Linked DNA regions of Arabidopsis thaliana. The protein of the gene in region 1 interacts with the protein of each later gene in a pairwise test. Each region holds a gene or a part of one and is shown in the gene's direction. Other genes may lie near its edges.

Evidence for each region.
Region 2: the proteins of AT3G27770 (region 1) and TRX5 interact in a protein complementation assay, tested with the Arabidopsis thaliana proteins (one large-scale study listed by BioGRID).
Region 3: the proteins of AT3G27770 (region 1) and AT3G03330 interact in a protein complementation assay, tested with the Arabidopsis thaliana proteins (one large-scale study listed by BioGRID).

Annotation. Positions count from the first base shown.
Region 1 is NC_003074.8:10,283,755-10,290,692, reverse strand, and holds AT3G27770 (plant/protein), read left to right. Parts: upstream 1-2,761; 5' UTR 2,762-3,025; intron 3,026-3,111; 5' UTR 3,112-3,218; coding exon 3,219-3,541; intron 3,542-3,633; coding exon 3,634-3,667; intron 3,668-3,754; coding exon 3,755-3,964; intron 3,965-4,078; coding exon 4,079-4,168; intron 4,169-4,296; coding exon 4,297-4,362; intron 4,363-4,452; coding exon 4,453-4,544; intron 4,545-4,626; coding exon 4,627-4,674; intron 4,675-4,790; coding exon 4,791-4,875; 3' UTR 4,876-5,036; downstream 5,037-6,938. Other genes in the region: MYB118 (myb domain protein 118), read left to right, coding at 1-124, 233-681, 788-914, 1,333-1,926; EMB3123 (PPR containing protein), read right to left, coding at 5,205-5,873; CARA (carbamoyl phosphate synthetase A), read left to right, coding at 6,901-6,938.
Region 2 is NC_003070.9:17,073,103-17,079,406, reverse strand, and holds TRX5 (thioredoxin H-type 5), read left to right. Parts: upstream 1-2,989; 5' UTR 2,990-3,150; coding exon 3,151-3,237; intron 3,238-3,873; coding exon 3,874-4,143; 3' UTR 4,144-4,465; downstream 4,466-6,304. Other genes in the region: AT1G45150 (alpha-1,6-mannosyl-glycoprotein 2-beta-N-acetylglucosaminyltransferase), read left to right, coding at 170-263, 719-791, 1,175-1,348, 1,427-1,549, 1,628-1,792.
Region 3 is NC_003074.8:781,493-789,366, reverse strand, and holds AT3G03330 (NAD(P)-binding Rossmann-fold superfamily protein), read left to right. Parts: upstream 1-3,162; 5' UTR 3,163-3,218; coding exon 3,219-3,294; intron 3,295-3,370; coding exon 3,371-3,426; intron 3,427-3,529; coding exon 3,530-3,563; intron 3,564-3,651; coding exon 3,652-3,750; intron 3,751-3,848; coding exon 3,849-3,997; intron 3,998-4,102; coding exon 4,103-4,141; intron 4,142-4,307; coding exon 4,308-4,400; intron 4,401-4,716; coding exon 4,717-4,815; intron 4,816-5,030; coding exon 5,031-5,132; intron 5,133-5,320; coding exon 5,321-5,404; intron 5,405-5,483; coding exon 5,484-5,549; intron 5,550-5,705; coding exon 5,706-5,795; 3' UTR 5,796-6,035; downstream 6,036-7,874. Other genes in the region: UNE6 (LUC7 related protein), read right to left, coding at 39-67, 144-225, 527-585, 864-926, 1,009-1,070, 1,359-1,506, 1,602-1,681, 1,799-1,862 and 3 more; AT3G03320 (RNA-binding ASCH domain protein), read right to left, coding at 6,078-6,140, 6,233-6,351, 6,446-6,533, 6,620-6,674, 6,807-6,855, 6,942-7,002, 7,107-7,234, 7,324-7,495.

The DNA of each region.
Region 1 (6,938 bases):
CAAAATGCATTATCCGTATCTCGCAGCCGTTATCTACGATGATAGCTCCACTTTAAAAGATTTTCATCCATCTCTTACCGATGATTTTTCTTGTGTACACAATGTGCATCACAAACCATCGATGGTAAACTCTAATCCTGATCTTTTTTTCACAAGAATCTCACATTAAAGATCTCAATCCTATCACTTTACTCAAAATCTTAATATTGTTCCCTATCACTTTGATATGCAGCCTCACACATATGAAATACCATCAAAAGAAACCATTAGGGGCATCACTCCTTCTCCATGCACTGAAGCTTTCGAGGCATGTTTTCATGGCACATCCAACGACCATGTTTTTTTTGGCATGGCCTATACCACCCCACCAACTATTGAACCCAACGTTTCACATGTCTCACATGACAATACTATGTGGGAAAACGATCAAAACCAAGGATTCATCTTTGGAACCGAGTCAACCCTCAATCAAGCCATGGCGGACTCTAATCAATTCAATATGCCAAAACCACTCTTGAGCGCAAACGAAGACACCATCATGAATCGACGTCAAAATAACCAGGTAATGATCAAGACCGAGCAGATCAAGAAGAAGAACAAGAGATTTCAGATGAGGAGGATATGTAAACCCACAAAAAAAGCTAGCATCATCAAAGGACAATGGACTCCTGAAGAAGACAAGTAAATTCAACATCTAATTTTTTGGAATTCTCATAAATAATTTTCTTAATCTAGTATGATATTGTTTTTAATATTAATATTTTCTAATGATTCTACCTATATTTAGGTTATTGGTGCAGCTAGTGGACCTTCACGGAACTAAAAAATGGTCTCAGATTGCTAAGATGCTTCAAGGACGAGTTGGAAAACAGTGCAGAGAAAGGTGGCATAACCATCTCCGTCCCGATATCAAGGTCTCTTATTTTATTTTATTTTCATTTTCTTATTTTCATAGGAGAAACAAAAACAAAATATCATCTTCGATACTTTCAAATTCATTACATGATACATTGAGAATCTTCTAAGAGAATATTAACAAACTTTTTTCACACTTGTCAACATGTATACGGTTTTATTTCATGCATGAATACTTTAAACTTTTGTTTGTATATACATATATGTCTATGACAATTCTTTAAGGCATTTTGTCTTCTTGTTGCGGACAAAACTTCACAATTGGTAAGACATTTAAACTAAAGTCATTGTCACTTGGATTCTCTCATATAATTCAACAAACATAAAAGAGAAAAAAACATATAAAAAATAAAAATATTTGTTTAATATTGTATGTATTATTTACATATAAAGCATATTTTATGTGGTATGTTACAGAAAGATGGATGGACTGAAGAAGAGGATATAATACTGATAAAAGCCCATAAGGAGATTGGGAACAGATGGGCTGAGATAGCTCGAAAACTCCCGGGACGCACTGAAAATACGATCAAGAACCATTGGAACGCGACTAAACGTCGACAACACTCGAGGAGGACTAAAGGAAAAGATGAAATTTCCCTTTCACTTGGTAGCAACACTCTTCAGAACTACATTAGGTCTGTTACCTACAATGATGATCCTTTCATGACCGCAAATGCAAACGCAAACATTGGTCCAAGAAACATGAGAGGTAAAGGTAAGAATGTAATGGTTGCGGTCTCGGAGTATGATGAGGGTGAATGTAAGTATATTGTGGATGGTGTGAATAACTTGGGTTTAGAAGATGGAAGGATCAAGATGCCGTCATTGGCGGCTATGTCGGCCTCCGGATCAGCGTCTACTTCTGGTTCTGCGTCTGGTTCTGGAAGTGGTGTGACCATGGAGATTGATGAGCCGATGACTGATAGCTGGATGGTGATGCATGGATGTGATGAAGTTATGATGAACGAGATTGCTTTGCTGGAGATGATTGCTCATGGTCGTCTTTAGACCGTGCAATATAAACAAGTCGAACTTGATTATATCTACCTATATAATTATGCTATTTATGAAATTATGTTTGTGCTTTTAATTGAAGAATTGGACATGTAATATATATTGTGGTTTAATTGAAGGTTTCTTTTGGACTAAACAAAAATTGAAGGTTTTCTTGCTTTATCAGATTTTTTTTTTGTTATTCTCTAATTTCATTTTAATTAAGAATCTATATATATTGTTAAATTTTCTGTTATACTATATGAATGGTAATTGCGTTTGCGGTTAGGAGAAGACGACCATTAGGTCCACAACAAGTACATTTAGTCACTAAAGAATAATTTTATATCGACTATGCTAAAGAAAAAAAGTACTAGTTGTTTACAAAATATCTGGTTAGTATGATGTAATATGGGATAATATGTGTATGGTCCGTTGTATTGTAATTTTCTGGAATTTGTTACCTTACCGTCATAATGACTATATGGTCCGTCGTATTGTAATACCAGAAATTTTAGGCAAAACACAAACAAAAAAAAACGTAATGAGAGTTTTGTATACATTATATTTTGGTTTTCCATTTGTTTTGTATATCACCATTCGAAAAGTCATACATAACTAAAAGAAAAATACATAAAACTTTTGGGATCTATATTCATTAATGATATTTTGACTAACTACATAGAAAATTGAGATCTTAACCAAATACAATAAACCATTACTTCTTATTCTTTTTGTGCAATTCCTCCAACAAAAAAAGAAAAAAAACTTAACAATTTTAGTCTTAACTACAAATAGTTAAAAATAATAATGGGCTTGTAGATATCTTTCCATTTATATGAGATTTGTGATTTAGGCCTATTTAAGTAAAATACACACGAAACCAAATCGACGTCGTTTGGCAACTAAGCGTTGGACAAACGGAGAAGGTCCCACCTGTCCTTGTCTCCACTCTGTGTTCTCCGATTCCAGTGGGCCTCTGACACCGCCATTGGATTGTTCTTCAGATTTATACATATCTCATATCTCATCACCTTCCAAGTTTCAATTTGACTTCTCCATCACACACAACAACAAGAACAAGGACAAGCTTCTACATTTCTCTTAACATAACGTAAGTATCAAGAATCAAAGCTACTTAATCTTAACACTAATATCTCTATATGTAAATCAATTAAGCTACTTTTAACTCCTCTGCAGAGACAGTTTTTGATCTGGGTTTTCAAGTCCGGTGTTGATCCCATTGAGTTTCGGATCTAAAAGATCCGAATATTCAGACGGATCAACAAGAGAACAAGAAAAAAAAAATGAATCTTGAGAATGTTTTGGAATTCACCAGCTTTGATTACTGGTTTAATTGGAGAGTGTTACTATGTGCTATATGGGTAATAGTTCCAATGATTGTTTCTTTATTAGTCTTATGGAAGTATGAAGATAGTTCAGTTCAAACTCAACCATCACTTAATGGTAATGATGTTTTGTGCATTGATGATGTTTGGAGACCTTGTTTTGAACGAATCCATCCGGGTTGGTTGTTGGGTTTTCGGGTTCTCGGGTTTTGTTTCCTTCTTGCTAACAATATTGCCCGGTTTGCTAATCGTGGATGGCGTATTTACTACTATTATACTCAGTAAGTTCTCTTTAAAGATCTCTGCTTTATTGTGTGGAAAGGGAATATCTTTGATGTTTTGAGACTGATATGATTGAGGTTTTGATTGGTAGGTGGACATTCACTTTGATAGCAATCTACTTCGGGGTATGTTTTGATTTTTGATGTTGTGAATATGTATATGGTTATAGTCAAGTTTGTTTGAATGTTTGTTGTCACTTGTGTGTTGTGTAGATGGGATCATTGCTTTCAATTTATGGATGTTTACAATACAAGAAGCAAGGGAACACTGGACTTATCGCTGATCAAGTAGGAATCGATGCAGAGAACGGGTTTCGTTCGCCTCTTATAGATGGTGACAACATGGTTTCGTTCGAGAAGAGAAAAACTTCTGGTTCGGAAGCACTAAAGTCATATGTTCATCTCTTCCAGATTATATATCAGGTAGACAGATTCCTTTGGTTATTATGATGTATAGTTTGCAACTTTCAGATTTCTTGTTTCATTAGTGTATATATGATCACTGATACTTGTGTGTTTTGGTTTGTTGAAAAACAGATGGGTGCTGGAGCAGCTGTGCTTACAGACAGTATATATTGGACCGTGATTTTCCCGTTTCTGTCTTTACAGGACTATGAGATGAGTTTCGTAAGTTTTCGCGCCATTTACCGTATATTAGTTAAAGCTTGTACACTGCTGATGGCACTTTCTACGTTGCACTTGACCCTCTTGAACTTAGTCTCAACTTCTCTAGTGTCAAAATTCTGTGTTTTCAGATGACTGTGAATTTGCACACAAGCAACCTCGTTTTGCTGCTTATTGACACGTTTCTAAACCGTCTGGTAAAACAATTCTTTCCTCTGCATTTACGACGAGTTTTCGTTTTCATTAATGTGTTGAACCTGAGGTCTTTTTGTGATGTTGCTTTGCAGAAATTTCCATTGTTCAGGTTCTCTTACTTCATCTTATGGACAGGATGTTTCGTTCTTTTCCAGTGGATTCTCCACATGTTTATCTCCGTTGGGTAAAACTCTTCTCTGTCATCTTTTGTATGTTACACTTACCGTCTTGATTAATCTTACACTTGTATTCCTCGATTGACTTAGGTGGCCATATCCATTTCTCAACCTGTCATTAGACATGGCTCCAGTGTGGTAAGCCTTGAAAACATTTACATACTAGACACTAGTCAGGATTGGTTTATATCATAATGTTTCATTCCTTAGAATGATTACGCCTATCCTTAATATTTTAATTCATGCATCTGCAGGTATTTGTTGGTGGCACTCCTGCATCTTCCTTCTTATGGCCTCTTTGCATTAATCGTCAAAATCAAATACAAACTCATTTCTTGAAGTCATTTCGAATCCAAGAGTTTCTGCCCCGTAAGAGTCAGTGCTCAAGGGTTACAACAATCAAAGAAACAATTTTTTACCCCATATGTCTAAAATCTTCAAAACAGATCATTGTAAACGCCACAACATTTCAATGCATAAACTATTTACTTCCGATCCAATTCGCATATCGCAATGAACCATTTCGTAAATTTTTCGCTACCCGAATTGATTTCAGCTCGAACCAAATCGAAAGAACTAACCATAGCAACAGAATATAGTGCAATCTTTGCCAAAAGTGTATGAACTTAATCAAAAACCGAACCAAACCAAACCGAAAACCCGAAAATTCAAGGTTTTAGAATTGAAGATTTGAGTGAGACTTGAGAAGCCAAGTCTGGCTCTCCTAGTCTCAAGAGACCCTTACTCAAAACCTCAGCGACATACTCATCAGCCTCCCATGACTCAGACCCCCAACCACTTTCCCTCATCAAGGTATAAACCCTAACCACCGACTCTCTCCTCTCAGCTCCAACCACAGCCCTAATCAACTTAGCTAAAGCCTTATCATCACTTCTTTGATCAATTCCATCAATTTCACCAATAAGACGATCTATCTCATCGAACTCTTTATTCCTCGTAAGAGCATTAACAATGTCTGCGTATAGAACAAGGTCAAGAGGAGGATACTCTGTACGGAGAGTGGAGAGTACATGGACAGCGAGTGTGCAATAGTCTTGACGGAGAAGCTCACGGAGGACGGAGATGAGATCGGATTTTATGAGACGGCGGAGAGGACGGAGGGTAAGGGAGAGGGAGACACCGGTTCGATGAGCTCGTTTGAGAGATTGGATTGATTGGATTGCTTCGGTGCTTAGGATTCGGCCTTTGAGAAGTGGTCCGCGGTTGTCTCGTGGACCGCATCGGATCGAAACGAACGTTCTCTTAGGAACGATGACGCTAAGGGTATGGCTATGGCTAAGGCTTGGTGGTCGAGTCTGGCTGAGAGAAAGCGCCATTATTAATCACACCAATCTTTACGAGTGTGGTTGTGTGAGTGAGAGAGATGGTCTTTCATTGGGCAAGCCCATATTAATTTATAAAAGGCCCATATGTGACACAAAATTAATTAATTTATACTTTCTAATTATGCGTCGTTTATATTTCTGTTCCCGCTAATTTCTCTACACGAGTCTATCATTACACTTGCAAGAGCGACTCTATCTTCTTCTTTTTTTTCAAATTCTTGTTTCGTTAAAAAGTTAAATTTTATACCAATTTGACGACTTTATCTTCTTCTTTTTTTTTCAGATTGTTTTTTTTTTTGTTAAAAAGTTAAATTTTATACCAATTTTAATTTTTAACATAATTACAAAGATTACAAAATACATATAAAAATAATCTACAGAAAAATAAATACAACATTACTACTAAAAAAGGTTTGGATCGCTTCTAAGCAAAGAAAGCCAAGTTACAAAGAGAACCACCGAATTCGATCTTGTAAAACTTAAGAATTCGCGTGATTTTACCATATGACCTAAGTACTGGAATCTTCATATTTGTTGCCACAATTCTAACTGAAATCAGTCTTCAAAAAATCAAGATAGAATGCTAGCAACATTCTATCTTAAATCTTATATTTCTTTAACTCGTTTAATTACTAATATCCTAAAACATTTTTACCTTATTAAAATATAAATATATGATTTTTTTACTTTTATTTAACCTTATATTTATTCTATTTCGAATTTATATAAAATCTATTTATATATATAATTATTTAAATATTAAATTTAGACATATATTCGATACTTTATTCTATTTTTATAATAAACAAAACTATGATTTTCATCCCTTTTTATTTAGCAACAAAACTATGATTATGTGACCAAATTTACTAGAGAAAAAAGTCAACAAAAGTCAAAGCAAGATACTGTAATAATAACAACGAATTAATTTCAAAAAAAGAGCTATCGACCCACCAACCCTAAAAAACCTTGACGCCGTTTTCTTCTTCGATCTTCTTCTTCCTCCAGAGAAAACAACATGGCCATGGCAACAAGGACTCTAGGCTTTGTTTTGCC
Region 2 (6,304 bases), on another chromosome or scaffold:
ATCATATGCTTCATTACAGAGCTTATGGATATTCATACATGTATGTTGGTGAAAAGGGAACTGAAATCTACTAGGTTAAACTGTGACTATGAATTAAAGTTCATAATTTAACAATGCTTTAGCTACTTGAGAAGTTTAGTCAAATAGTCTTACTCTTTTTTTTTTGTAGGACCGGGAGATGCACCTCTTGCTCCGACACCTTTTGAATCTTTTGTCAAAGTTCCAAATCTCCTTCGACCCTATACTCAGATATACTGCACAAGGTAATTGATCATTCAAATTCTCTTAGGTGGCAGTAATTTAATCATTCAAATAAATTGCCTTCTCTTACTTAGGTTTTGTGATTAATGAGGACAAGATCTTAACCTTACCAATCTTTAATTTTAATATCCGGTGGGTGTACTATGTGTGTTGTGTTTATACCTATTAAAAGACACCTAATTGGTTCAGAATAAATTGTATATCATCTGTCAGTTAACAAAAAAATCATTTCCTTTGTCAATATATTTTGAGCAAATACGTCTTTGGTCTTAAATTTTCCCTTTTCCGCCACTCACCTACTTGGATAGACATGGAGGCAGGTGAGTTTAGTATATGAATCTATGATTTAAGAAAGTCTGATGAATTTGGTGAACTTATAGAGAAATCTGTTTTCAACTAGGCTCTCGTTACTTTAATCTTTTATCTCAGTGTTGTTAAATCATGGTTTGATATTCAGTGAGTGGGTGCTTGGTAACCGGGAGGATTTGGTGAAGGATATTCTTGACGAATTGCAGACAGAGAATGGTGAGGTAGGGTCTCTCAGATCTCCATCAACCCTTTTACTTCTTCTTTAGAGAATATTATCCATTGACCCAAGTCTATGTTATTCTCAATGAGGTTTGAAATCGTCTGGTCCATACACCTGAAGTATACTTAACTGAATAGAAATAAAGACTAGAGTTTGGTCAATATAGTTAATTAGTTATCATAAGCTTTGAAAACGTTTGCACGTGTACATGAATACATCTAGCTTTGGTAGTAATGGAATCATCATATGTCGATCAAAGTACTGTAGTTATGGAATGGTTAAATTTGATTCAAGGTCATCTTAATGATGTGCTCATTAGTGGTCCTGTATGTGTTAGCATTTTAGCAACAAGAATCATAAAGAGGACTTTTCTTGCTGGTGCAGGAATGGTGGACATACATATGCCTTGGACCTTCAGATCCTCACCCAAATTGGCATCTGGGGATGCGTGGTACACAGCAACGGGCAGTGATGTGGCGTGTGTGGAAAGAAGGTGGAACCGGGTTCTTGTACTGGGGTGCAAATTGCTATGAGAAGGCAACGGTTCCAAGCGCCGAGGTTATTTTCTTATCCTTAGTTCTGTTGTAAATGTTTCTTGATCGATTGCTTCATGATATTATATAACCAAATGAATAGGTAAAGTTTAGGCGCGGTCTTCCTCCTGGTGATGGAGTTCTTTACTACCCCGGTGAAGTTTTCTCATCTTCTTCAGAGCCAGTTGCTTCACTTAGGCTAGAGCGCCTTCTTAGTGGCTTACAGGTACGTCAACTTTATAGTTTTACCAATCAGATAACAACGAAAAACTGTTCCAGTTGGCTTATTTGGAGAATGAATCAGGATTATGAGTACTTGAAGCTGTATGAGTCAAAATACGGAAGAGAGGAAGCGATGGGGCTATTGGAGAAGACAGGGGTGTACACGGGGCCGGAGCGCTACACTTTGGAACATAGACCGATCGATGTATTGCGAGGAGAAGTGTACAACACATGTAGACCATCTTGAGTAACCAGATCGTTTAGTATCTATAAACACTCTCGGTTAGCCCTAAGTTAATAATAAAAGAACATAACAAGAAAACTCTAACAATGTCTAGATTACCAGTGAAAAAGGTTAATTAGTATGAAAATAATAAAATAGATAGATTTGCTTTGTACTTCTGATTCTTTAATTTGTTGGGAAATACTGTATCTGAAAAAGCTCATTTTATGTGGTGCTAGGTTGATATCATTCATCATAGTCACGTATGAATGGAAGGGCACAAGACATAATCATCCAACAAAAAAGGATATAAAACCTACACTGACTAAAAATTAGGAAAAAATGTTATTTAATCCCCAACTTTCAAAAAATGGCCATTTTATTCGTCAACTTCGTATGCGGTCGTTTAAAACATGAACTAAACGTTGACTAACTTTTAAAACATGATCATTCGTCGACCAGGCCAAAATAGACATGATGTTATCAGTTATTAACGGAACTTCTAACGTCTGTTATCATCTGTTAACGACTTTATTAGTCAAGTTTTAAATTGTGGTCATTTTAAACATCAACTTGGCCATTTAAAACATGAACTAAACGTTGACTACCATTTAAGATATGAACAATTCGTTGACCTGACCAAAATAGACATGTTTTTATCAGTAATTAATAGAACCTAGAAACCCGTTATTATCCGTTAGTGACTGTTAATCAGTCTAAAACGACGTCGTTTGAGAATAAAATTAGTGTCAAAGCGTAAACACACATACAGCCAGCTCTCGGTTCTATCATTAGTGAAAGAACATTACTAGAATTTGATTTATTAGAGGAATAAAGAAGATTGATCAAAAACAGCTTGCATTATTATTCAAAACATAAATCTAGCATATTATAGATAATATTTTTCTTATTGTCTTAGATAAAGTTTCCATTCAACTTTGCACGTCTAAAAGCTCGGAATAGTCCACAAATTATCACATAGAAAAAAACTTATATTCGTGCCGACAAAAACAAACGTTACTTTTTTATATCTGCAAGGACGAGAAAAGAACGGATAAACTCATATATCGTGCACACAAAACATGCGTGTCTTCTACATCTAGAACTGTCGTTACTCGTTACCATCATCACGCCGTTGACCTAGACTCATGCCTATTCTTTAATCGTTTAATATAAACCGTTGGATCCCTTCACACTCCTACGCGTCAAGATCGAACTCATTTTAGGAAAATAATTAAAAAAAAAGACCGAGAAGAGGTAGAGGTATAGGTGGTCAAGTCTTGCCTATAAAAGCTGATCCCAACAAGAATAATTCTTTCATTCACCAAAAAAAACTCATCAATCAAACAAAACTCTTAAAAGCTTAAGAACAAATAATAAAAATGGCCGGTGAAGGAGAAGTGATTGCTTGCCATACCCTCGAAGTTTGGAACGAGAAGGTCAAAGACGCCAATGAATCCAAGAAACTGGTACTTTTCTCTTCTTCTCCTCTCTAGGGTTTCTTCTTCTATTTGATTTGATTACTTTACTTAGGGTTTTCAGTTTTCTTGATCTAGTGGTAAACTGGTAATTCATGTTAGATACAAAACCTTGGTTTTTATCATGTTCATGTACCATGTCTTGATTTGGTCTGAAATTTGATAGAAACTGGTATTTTCTCGTCCTGTCTAGGGTTTTTTTTGTTTTTTAATTTGAGTTGGTTACGTTACTTAGGGTTTAGGGCTTTCTTGGTTAGTTAGCTTAATGGTGAATGATGTTCGAGAAACGGTTGCTTTTGATCCCGTTCTTGTCCCATATCTTGCTCTGGTGGTCCCAAATTGATAGAAGCTAGAACTTTCTCTTGTCCTGTCTAGGGTTTTGTTCAATTTGATTTGATTACTTTACTTAGGGATTACGGTTCGTCTTGATTAGCTACCTTAGTGGTGAATGATAATTGTATCCTGATATGGTCTGAAATTATAGAAACTTTACTTTCTCTTGTTATGTCCAGGGCTTTTTTTCAATTTGATTTGATTACGTTATGGTTTAGGGTTTTCTTGATTAGTTAGTTTAGTGGTGAATGATGTTTGTGTTCTGATTTGTTCTGAAATTTTGATTGAAACCAGATTGTGATAGACTTCACAGCATCATGGTGTCCACCTTGCCGTTTCATTGCACCAGTGTTTGCAGAGATGGCTAAGAAGTTCACTAATGTTGTCTTCTTCAAGATCGATGTTGATGAATTGCAAGCTGTTGCTCAGGAATTCAAAGTTGAGGCAATGCCTACTTTTGTTTTCATGAAAGAAGGCAACATCATTGATCGTGTTGTCGGTGCTGCGAAAGATGAGATCAATGAGAAGCTGATGAAGCATGGTGGTCTTGTAGCTTCTGCTTGATTGATTTCAGTTTCTAACTCTTTGCATCATAATAAAGTTTTTATCTTTCGTATGAAATAAAAGTGATGCATTGCTACTGCACATTTGTATTATAACTATGTTGATTTTTCGATTACTGGTTTGTTATCTCTTGGCTTCAACCACGAACACGAAAATAGCGACACACATTAAGACTGGTTTTAAACACGATAAGAGAGCGTAGGTTGAAAATATGTAGTTATGAACAGAGCAGTGATTAGTTCTCTGATTTCCACTATAAATGTGTGAAAATGTTATGTAATACTATGGAAAAATCACTTTCAACAGCTCATATTTCTCCATCTACGTCACGTCTATATCTCTTTAAGTTCCTTGAAGTTTTATCCAACGTTTCTCTGTTTTTATCCTTGAACAAGAACTGAAACAGAGAAAACAAGAGAAGATGAAGCTGACCTGTAGATTCAAACATTTCCCTATGCTCTTTAGATCCAAAGCCAGCCGCTCGTTCCCTCTAGGCGCGTCAGAGTAGGCCTGTCGATGGGACTAGCATAGACACATAGTGACTCTACTTGAACAAGCGTCAGACTGCATACAGCAGGTTAGAGCTGGTAGGACTTGGTTAGTGATCCACTACAAAAATAATCCATATCAATAGCACACGAGGATAGATCAGTTTTCCCTACTGCAATAAAAGATGAGTTCATAGTTCATATTAAAAATGAGTTCATAGATGCGGCACAGAGAGATGATTCGAGAACAAGTGAGGAGATAACGGATTTAACAATACGGTTGAAGGAGGCTTATATAGATGAAGAACAATATTGGTACCAGAAAAGTAGGAGTTTATGGATGAAGGTTGGGGATAATAACTCAAAATATTTCCATGCTCTAACAAAACAGAGACGGGCTAGGAATCGGATCATAGGACTTCATGATGAAAATGGAAAATGGTTTGCAGAGGATAAAGATGTCCAACATATAGCGGTGTCTTATTTTGAGACTTTGTTTAATAAGTCGAATCCCCAGAATATTGCGGAATCTTTATCAGAGGTTAAAACTTTAATAACGGATCAAATAAATGACTTCTTAACGACACCTGCTACAGAAGATGAGGTAAGAGCGGCTTTGTTTTTGATGCACCCGGAAAAAGCACCAGGGCCTGATGGTATGACAGCGTTATTCTTTCAAAAACCATGGGCTACCATAAAAATGGATATGCTTTTTCTGGTTAACTCTTTTTTACAAGATGGAGTTTTCGATAAACAGTTAAATACGACTAATATATGTTTGATCCCAAAAACGGAACGACCGACTCGAATGACGGAATTAAGACCCATTAGTCTTTGTAATGTCGGGTACAAAATTATTTCAAAAATCCTTTGTCAAAGACTTAAGAAGATTCTTCCAAGTCTTATTTCGGAAACACACTCTGCTTTTGTTGAAGGACGTTTAATTTCAGACAATATTCTTATTGCCCAGGAGATGTTTCATGGATTAAGAACTAATCCGTCATGTAAAGGAAAATTCATGGCGATCAAAACTGATATGAGTAAGGCGTATGATAGAGTTGAATGGAATTTTATCGAGGAATTATTAAAGAAAATGGGTTTCTGTGAAAAGTGGATATCGTGGATAATGTGGTGTATCACAACAGTCCAGTATAGGGTCCTACTTAATGGACAACCTAGAGGACTAATAGTCCCAAAGAGGGGTTTAAGACAAGGAGATCCACTCTCTCCTTATCTATTTATCCTATGTACAGAGGTGCTCATTGCAAATATTCGAAAGGCAGAGCAAGAAAAATTGATTACGGGTATCAAAGTGGCAACAGCAAGCCCATCAGTCTCTCATTTGTTGTTTGCGAATGATAGTTTATTCTTTTGTAAAGCTAATAAAGAACAATGCGGAGTAATTTTGGGTATTTTAAAACAATATGAAGCGGTCTCGGGACAAATGATAAATTTTTCCAAATCATCGATTCAATTTGGCCATAAGGTAGGTGATGATATAAAAGCAGAAATTAAATCAGCGTTGGGTATTCATAGCATTGGTGGAATGGGTTCGTATCTCGGATTGCCGGAAAGTCTAGGTGGTTCGAAGACAAGAATCTTCTCTTTTGTTAGAGACAGACTTCAAACTCGGATAAATGGATGGTCGGCAAAATTCTTATCAAAAGGTGGAA
Region 3 (7,874 bases), 9.5 Mb from region 1:
TAAAACAATGAAACAAGAAGCTAGAACTAAAACCTAACCTTTCCTTGCGTATATTGGCCTTCTCATCCTGAAGTAAACGAAGAGAAATATAAGAAGGCAGTTTCATCCATCATCAGATAAAGTAGATTGTGTTATTAGTTTACCAGAAGCTCTGTTAATTTGTCCCGGACTAGCATGTATCCTAGATGAAGCTTCCCCCCAAAATGATCAGCTAAACGGCGATCACTGTAGCATCACAAAAGTTCCAATTAGCATAGCCAAATGCTAAACATTTGACGATAGCATATTAAAACAGTATAACGTTAAAAACTCCATTAGTTAATCTCTACTAGTAAGATCCTTCAAGCACAATAAAATCAAGAAAAGAACGCACATTTATTATAGCTGCAAAAGTAATCCTGCCCAAAAAGCCTGCTGGTGAAAGGAGGAGGTACAATAGCCGGAGTCAAAAGACTATTTCTACCTTTTTTCTCTTTCAATCCAAAAGGGAAACAATAATGCAGAAAGTTTGAGCAAGGAACTTAACCTGTCATAGACGCTCAAGAATGCTCCACATATGTCACATAGACGCAACTTTTGGTCTGTCTGAGAAGATATAGGAACAATAAGTGAGGTTAGAAGATGAAACCAATGTGTAGATACATTAAACAGGGGATGCGAAGATGTTATACTTTTGGTCCAAATAGTAACTTTTATGAAAGCAATCAAACGGGTTTACTCAAATAAACTATTACTCTTTACCTAAACGTTAATATATGACTGTTGTCATTCCTATATTCAACGGTACTTTCCAAAACAAACTGATAAATATAGAAGGAATGTGAATCTTTAAGGCATCATTGGGAGGAGTGATGGTAACTTACGATGCGCACATCAACAGCGGTGTACTTCGTTGAATCTGCTGGAGGTTCTCGTCTAACTGTAAGCTGAAACAAATTTAGGCCCAACAATTATTAGTGACTAATAAAAGTAGGGGGAAAAGAAAAAGAAATAAGAAAGAGAACACACCTTCTTAAGAGCTTCAGCCTCTTCCAGGGCTTTCTGGGCTTCATCAACCATTCCTTGTTCACCTAAAATATCAAATAACCATACAATCTATATAAAACTTCGTGAAGTCCAGTGTTTCCTTAACATAGATATAGTAACATACAACGGGAAGAAATTTCCTTATCTTAGGTATATACAGTTTAAGCAATTTATAGGTTAGGAAATCTTAGATTAGCCAGTAGAAATTCCCAGCCGGCAGGGAATACTAGACCGTGGATATTTAAGCAGTTTCAACTTTCCACTACAATGAGCTCTAAATTAAGATGACCATAGACAAATAACCAAACACAAATTAGGGTTATTTCCCTTACCAAGATCTTCTGCCTTCTTCAGTTTCTCATTTATCATTTCTTGAGTGCGAGGATCCGGTGGAGGTAATTCGGAAGATGGTGGTTGAGCTGGAACGGGCTGTGGCAAGGATGCTCTATCTTTGTTGAAGGCTTCCAACAGCAACACCGCCTACATGAAAAAACAAGACAAAGGACTTTCTAGTTGACATAGGTAAAGTAAAAAAGCAAAAATGCTCATTAAGCCAATAGCGAAAGCAAATTCACCTGTTGGTCAGCTCTCTTGGTCCTCATCTCTTCGACTAACTCAAGAGCTCTAATCTTAAGATCCATTTTGCCTTCAAGATCTGCAAAGTGACATCAGAACTTTGAAAGACTACCAATAACCAGTCAAGAATTATTTGCAAAAACAAAGCCGAAACAGCAAAGTAATATTTGCTGGGCAATATTCTTTTAATTTTTACCGTGGATATCTGCTTCCTTCATCTTCTCTTTGATTTTCTCCGATAACTCGAGAATTTCAGGCGACTGCAGTTAAACAATGTAATGATGATAAACAAACCTGAGTGTTGCAAACTTAGAAGACACATAAACCAAATTTCAAAATCAAATAATCACCTGAGTGACTTCAGAGACAGAAATGGCAATGGCAGCTTTGGCGTCCTCTTCTTGAAGACGCTTAAGGGCCCTACCAATCTTCCTATCACACTCAACGATAAGCCTGTCTATGGCATCTTCCAATTCCCTGTCGTAGTTATCAACACCTTTTGCCCTTGCTTCTCGGTATCTAAGGGCGAGTTAAAGCAACACAGGAGTGGAAAGAGAACAACATGCCACTGTAGAATCAAACTAAACATAACAATGACACCAACTTTTTTTTGTAACTAATCTGCATAGGCTAGTCTTATATGCACTATCCATTCATTTAACGTATTATCTCAAGCAAAAACCAGGAAGAAGAGCAAAAACATGAGCAAAAAACAGATATCAACCCAATTAGTAAGTATGTTCAAATGTCAAATTCAATTGAAAGAGGCCATGGAAGTAGGCGGCCTTCATGGTAACCGTATAAGGTAAATACTAAACTTACTGTAAACAAAGGATACTCTTTCCGAAGCTGCAAAGAGTGCACCTTTGGGCATGGTCCCATATCCATTTTCTGATAACAACAGAAATGTAAAAGGAGCATCAGTTATTAGGCAAACCAAAGTAGCCATGCACTAAATTACTAGACAGATACTCATAGAAAACAGTGAAGCGATACAAGTTTCAGAATTCAGATATACTCTATAAGATACAAAACTGCACACTGTATCAAGTAACCAAATACCAGTTATCAATTCGAGCTAAAGCAGAAACACAAAAGATTAGCTCAAAAGTGAAATTAGGGTTTTTTTATTCAAAGAGACAACTAAGTAATAAACTGAAAAAATATAAAGGTAAGCACCGTCAATTGGAAGAGATCGTGAGGGCAGAGACCAGACAAGTAAAGACGACACACATCACGGTCGTAGTATTTGCGATTCACCTCCTGAACGTCGCCGTTTCGGTTAGCTCCCATGAGCACATCAAGCTGCTTCCTTATAGCGTCCATAGTCGTTCTCTCTCTCTCTCTCTCTCTCTCTCTCTCTCTCTCTCTCTCTCTCTCTCTCTCTTTCCTCGTCCTCTCTGCAAACAGAGATTTGGGGTTTTTTGATCGAAAGACAACACAATGATAGGAACAATGGCATTCGGATGTAATAAGATTTTGGTATATAAGATTAATTGCATACAGGTCCCTATATATTAATAATTTATGTTCTACTCCTACATTTATTTCTGTCAACATATTTTGCCCACGGGTAAGAAGACTTGGTCTCTCGCTGGTTGCTTCAATCCGAGAAAATGCTGACTCTACTCTTCTTCTCTCTCGGAGCGCTTCTTCTTATCGTTCTGCTCTTCAAATTTGCATTCGCCGATGGTAATAACTCTGACGATTTCTAATGCAATGTTTAACTTCTTTTATGTATAAAAGGATTGATCTTTGCTTTGTGTAGGAGATTTTACCTTGATTTCGAAGAAGCATGTGAAGCGTGAGGCCATACAAGGCAAGGTACTGGATTGATAGAGGAAAAAATGGAATTTAGTGGGATTGATTTGAGTTTTCGATTATTTCAATCTCTGAGCATTAATTCAGATTTCTTGGTTTTGCTCAGGTCGTCTGGATCACAGGGGCTAGCCGTGGAATTGGTAACGAATGTTTTCTTAGGATTATATATCTGTGAAGAGATAACTTTTATTGTGGCTGCTTACTCTTCATGTTTATGATTGGATTCAGGTGAAATTCTTGCTAAACAGTTTGCAAGTTTAGATGCCAAGCTTATTCTCTCTGCTAGGAATAAAGCTGAACTGGATCGGGTTAAGAGTGAGCTTAAAGGTACTTTCTTACACAATGAATCAAAGAAAGCTCTCCAGTTTACAATTGTGAGCTTTTTGTTGACACGTGATGTAACTGACTCTGTATTCTTCTTCTAGGTAAATTTGCACCAGAAGATGTCAAGGTTTTGCCTTTAGATTTAGCTAGCGGCGAAGAGTCACTCAAACATGTTGTAGAGCAAGCAGTGTCGCTTTTCCCTGGAGCTGGTGTTGATTATTTGGTTCACAATGCTGCCTTTGAGCGTCCGGTAAGTAATTTCCTTGCTAAAGTTTTGTATCTACTCAATAGAGAGTCTTAGGCTTTAGATATGTTTACTCAAGCGGGTGTCATCATCATACTCTTTTCCTTGCAGAAATCCAAGGCATCGGATGCAAGTGAGGAAACTCTCAAGGTACTAAAATTAATTGCGTAAAATTCGTAGGCAAGATTATTAATTCTTGAGGAAACTCTCAAGGTATTTTTTGTTTCTATTGCCATAGTTAGCCTGTAACAATTAGGACATGGGTGATTTTGATATTTCTTTCTGACATATGGTTAATCTATGATTTTGTGTGCAGACTACATTCGATGTTAATGTCTTTGGGACGATATCTCTGACAAAGTTGGTAGCTCCTCATATGCTAAAACAAGGAGGGGGTCATTTTGTTGTGGTACGTGGAGACTACTGGGGGATAGTTTTTGTTAATTTTGTGGAATTATATTTAAGGATTGAGCTTCATATCATAGTTTATATATGTGGATAACATTGCGTTTTATATGTTAGTTAATTGTTGTAATCACAGTATTGAATCTTGACTATATATGTTAAATCTGAGGATACTAGGGTATATAGACAATTTAAGGTTTCGTTCAGGTTAGTATTTACCATAGCTTGAATGTTATGGAACTCAGGCTATGATCATGCACTAATTGTCCATTTTATTGGGTTAAATGTCATGAGTAATAATTCACGTCAATTATGCTCAGATAAGCAGTGCTGCAGGAAAGGTACCATCACCTGGACAGGCTATATATTCTGCTTCAAAACATGCTCTTCATGGCTACTTCCACAGCTTGCGTTCTGAGGTATGTTAGAAGTAAAGAAACTGTTGTGCTTGCTAATTAGTTGGCAGAAATTGACTTATTGAAATCACAAGTGAAAATTTACAGCTACTCCTGAGTTTTAATAAGCTTCATATGTTGATTCGCTATGTTTTTTCATTTACATTTTATTGTTGAAAATAGCACAATCAATTACAAAAACTAACAGTTAGTTTACAATCATCTGTGCATGGTTTCAGTTCTGTCAGAAGGGAATCAAGGTTACCGTCGTTTGTCCTGGTCCAATAGAAACCTGGAATGGTACAGGAACATCAACTTCGGAAGACAGCAAGTCTCCTGAGGTTGGTACTTATTATGATTGTGATTATTTGATTAAGTTGTGAGCAGCAAGTACTTCTCCCATTGCTTGATTCATTATTTCCTTGTAGATACACGTAGAATCATATTCTTTGTCAACATTTGGAGATTCTAACTTCAGCTCCTTGCTCAACTTGATTTCTCTCAAGCATCTATTCTCTTTGCTACGCAGAAACGTGTGTCATCTGAACGATGTGCAGAGCTGACTATAATCGCTGCATCTCATAACTTGAAGGAAGCTTGGATTTCATATCAGGTACATCTTTATAAATATTGCATATGTGATACTCGGTTTAGATGTCTGATATATAAGTTTCTTTTTCACTGTTTTTCAGCCAGTACTACTCGTGATGTATCTAGTGCAGTACATGCCTTCCCTTGGCTTCTGGCTCATGGACAAGGTACTTTGCTCATCCATTAATTTTCTTCAAAAGTTACCGGTATGAGATGTCGTTTTGTTTCCATTATAATGTGACAAACACATCTGACAAAGAGAAAACAGGGGCAGTTATTACTCTGTTGAAAGCAGTCTTTTGATTAAAATGAACGGCTTGCAGGTTGGAGGAAAGCGTGTGGAGGTCGCGGAAAAGAAAGGCAACACATACTCGTGGGATTTACTGTTCGGGAAGAAGACTAAAACAAACTGAAGCTGATTCTCTAGAAGATACACATAGATGTGGTTGGTTGAGCCTTAGTCCGTAAATGTGGTTGGTGTTTGTTTGCTAGTTTGATTGTTAAATAACTACCAAAGCGTCGAAAAATGTTTTGTTGCCTTGTGAGGTGCTCAATAAGTAAGAAAAGATGTGATCTTCTGTGATTTAGCTACTCGTACACACAAACAAACACAAATTTAACATCATCCGAGTGTAGAGAAATCAAAACCCTTCAAATTGAGTAGTTTCTCTGCGCACAAAGGTTTTCAGATGCAGCTACGAGGTAACCCCAGCTGTGTATTCATCCAACAGGCTTTTGATCCCACTGGACTTCAGTTCCTACAAAAGAAGAACCGAAAAGAAAGCTATATGATGCATACATTGAAGACTAACGAAAGCTTCTGGAGTTTGACTTGCTGCCAGAAACTCACAGACAATACTCCTGCCAAAGCTGCAGAAGGCTGATTAGCTGGTTTTGCAACACGAATAGCTACAACACCGTTCATTCTTTCCTTCTCTTCAGAATAAAAGTTTCGGTAAACTTGAACACCTGCAGATAGAACATCATTTCAGGTTAGAACAAAGTCCACATAGCAAAAGAGACGCTTTCCAAACGTTCTATGTTATGGTAAAGATCTTCAAACCTTCTTCTATACTTTCAACTCCAGGAAGAACTTTGGCAAGACCCTCCACTTTCAGCATTTCTGAGAATGAAGTATAACGGTGAACGTCCTGCCCTCATCAAAATGGTTAGTAACAAGAGGTATAGTGTTTGCCTCACAAGGAAGAATTGACAGAGATACAAGATTGATGACTACCTGAACTTCAAGCAGCAAGCATTTATTGAACAAAAGAAAATCTCCTGAACTAATTCTGTGAGTAAACCAATTTTGAAGTCAATAAGACAATCTAAAGCTATTGGAATCAGCAAAACAGAAAACCCGGAAAAGCAAGCACAAGAGATGAATGTGAATTAACATTTGCACAAAGATAAAAACATCAGACCTCATGTAGTCTCCCACTGCGCATCTTCCTTCAACAGTTTTCAAACCATCTGACAAATTGAGAGGCACCCGGAAATAAAAGTGAGATTGAGCAAATATAATTGTAATACTACAATCAAGTAACCAGAAAATGTACCTTTCAATTGGGTGAAGTAAGGCTCTTGGACATGAAGCTCAAAGTTCACCTCCTTCAACATCTGAAACAAAGAACCTTTTCTGTGTAAAAATTCCAAAAACTAACTTTTCCCACTCTGTTTTGATGCAATAATAGTTGAGAACTAAAGTTTTCATATAGACTTACATTTATTAAGTCATATCCCAAGCCATGAATCAGTTTGCTGTATTTTTCCAAGTTAGAATTTTTATCACCCTCGGAAGCTAGACATTCAGACAAAGCCGTTGCTAGAAGCTTGTACACCGCAGATTTTTCTGTTAATTGAAACATTTATGAGAAAATTTCAGTTATTTCTCTCCAGCATTCAAGTTTCATAATTTGCTTCCTAATTAGCAAAACGTACCTGTTGAATCTGTAGCTTCCCCAAGGAGATGAAGACAAAAATCTCTGGTCAGGTCAAGATCGAAACTTGGAACAGATTCGTTTAAATGAGATCTCAGACTAAAACGGAGAAGTGATTCCATGCATTCTCGGAGATCCACCGACTTCGTTCCCGGCGACATTGGTTGCTCCATTTTCGTCAAAAACGCCAACGTTAAGCCTCTTAATTAAGAAATATTCGTGTAAAACACCCTCAAGTTTGTAGATATTACAAGATGTTCTAACCCAATCTGAAATTGGACAGTAACACCTTGATGTCGTTTTAAAACGGAAGATCAGAGATCAGACGTTGTCGTTTGAAGACGGAAGATCAGAGCGATAAGTCAGGTATCTAGAAGGTGACACGTGAGGAGCACGTGAAGCTTGCGTGTAGACAGTCACAGTCACAGATGGCATATTCTCAGAAATCCTCATTGTTGACTAATGTACCTCTGATAAGTCCCACTTACCATTTTCTCCTGAACTCTGTAGAAAGATCCGAATTGAATATTTCGGACCCGAAACCTGACCCGC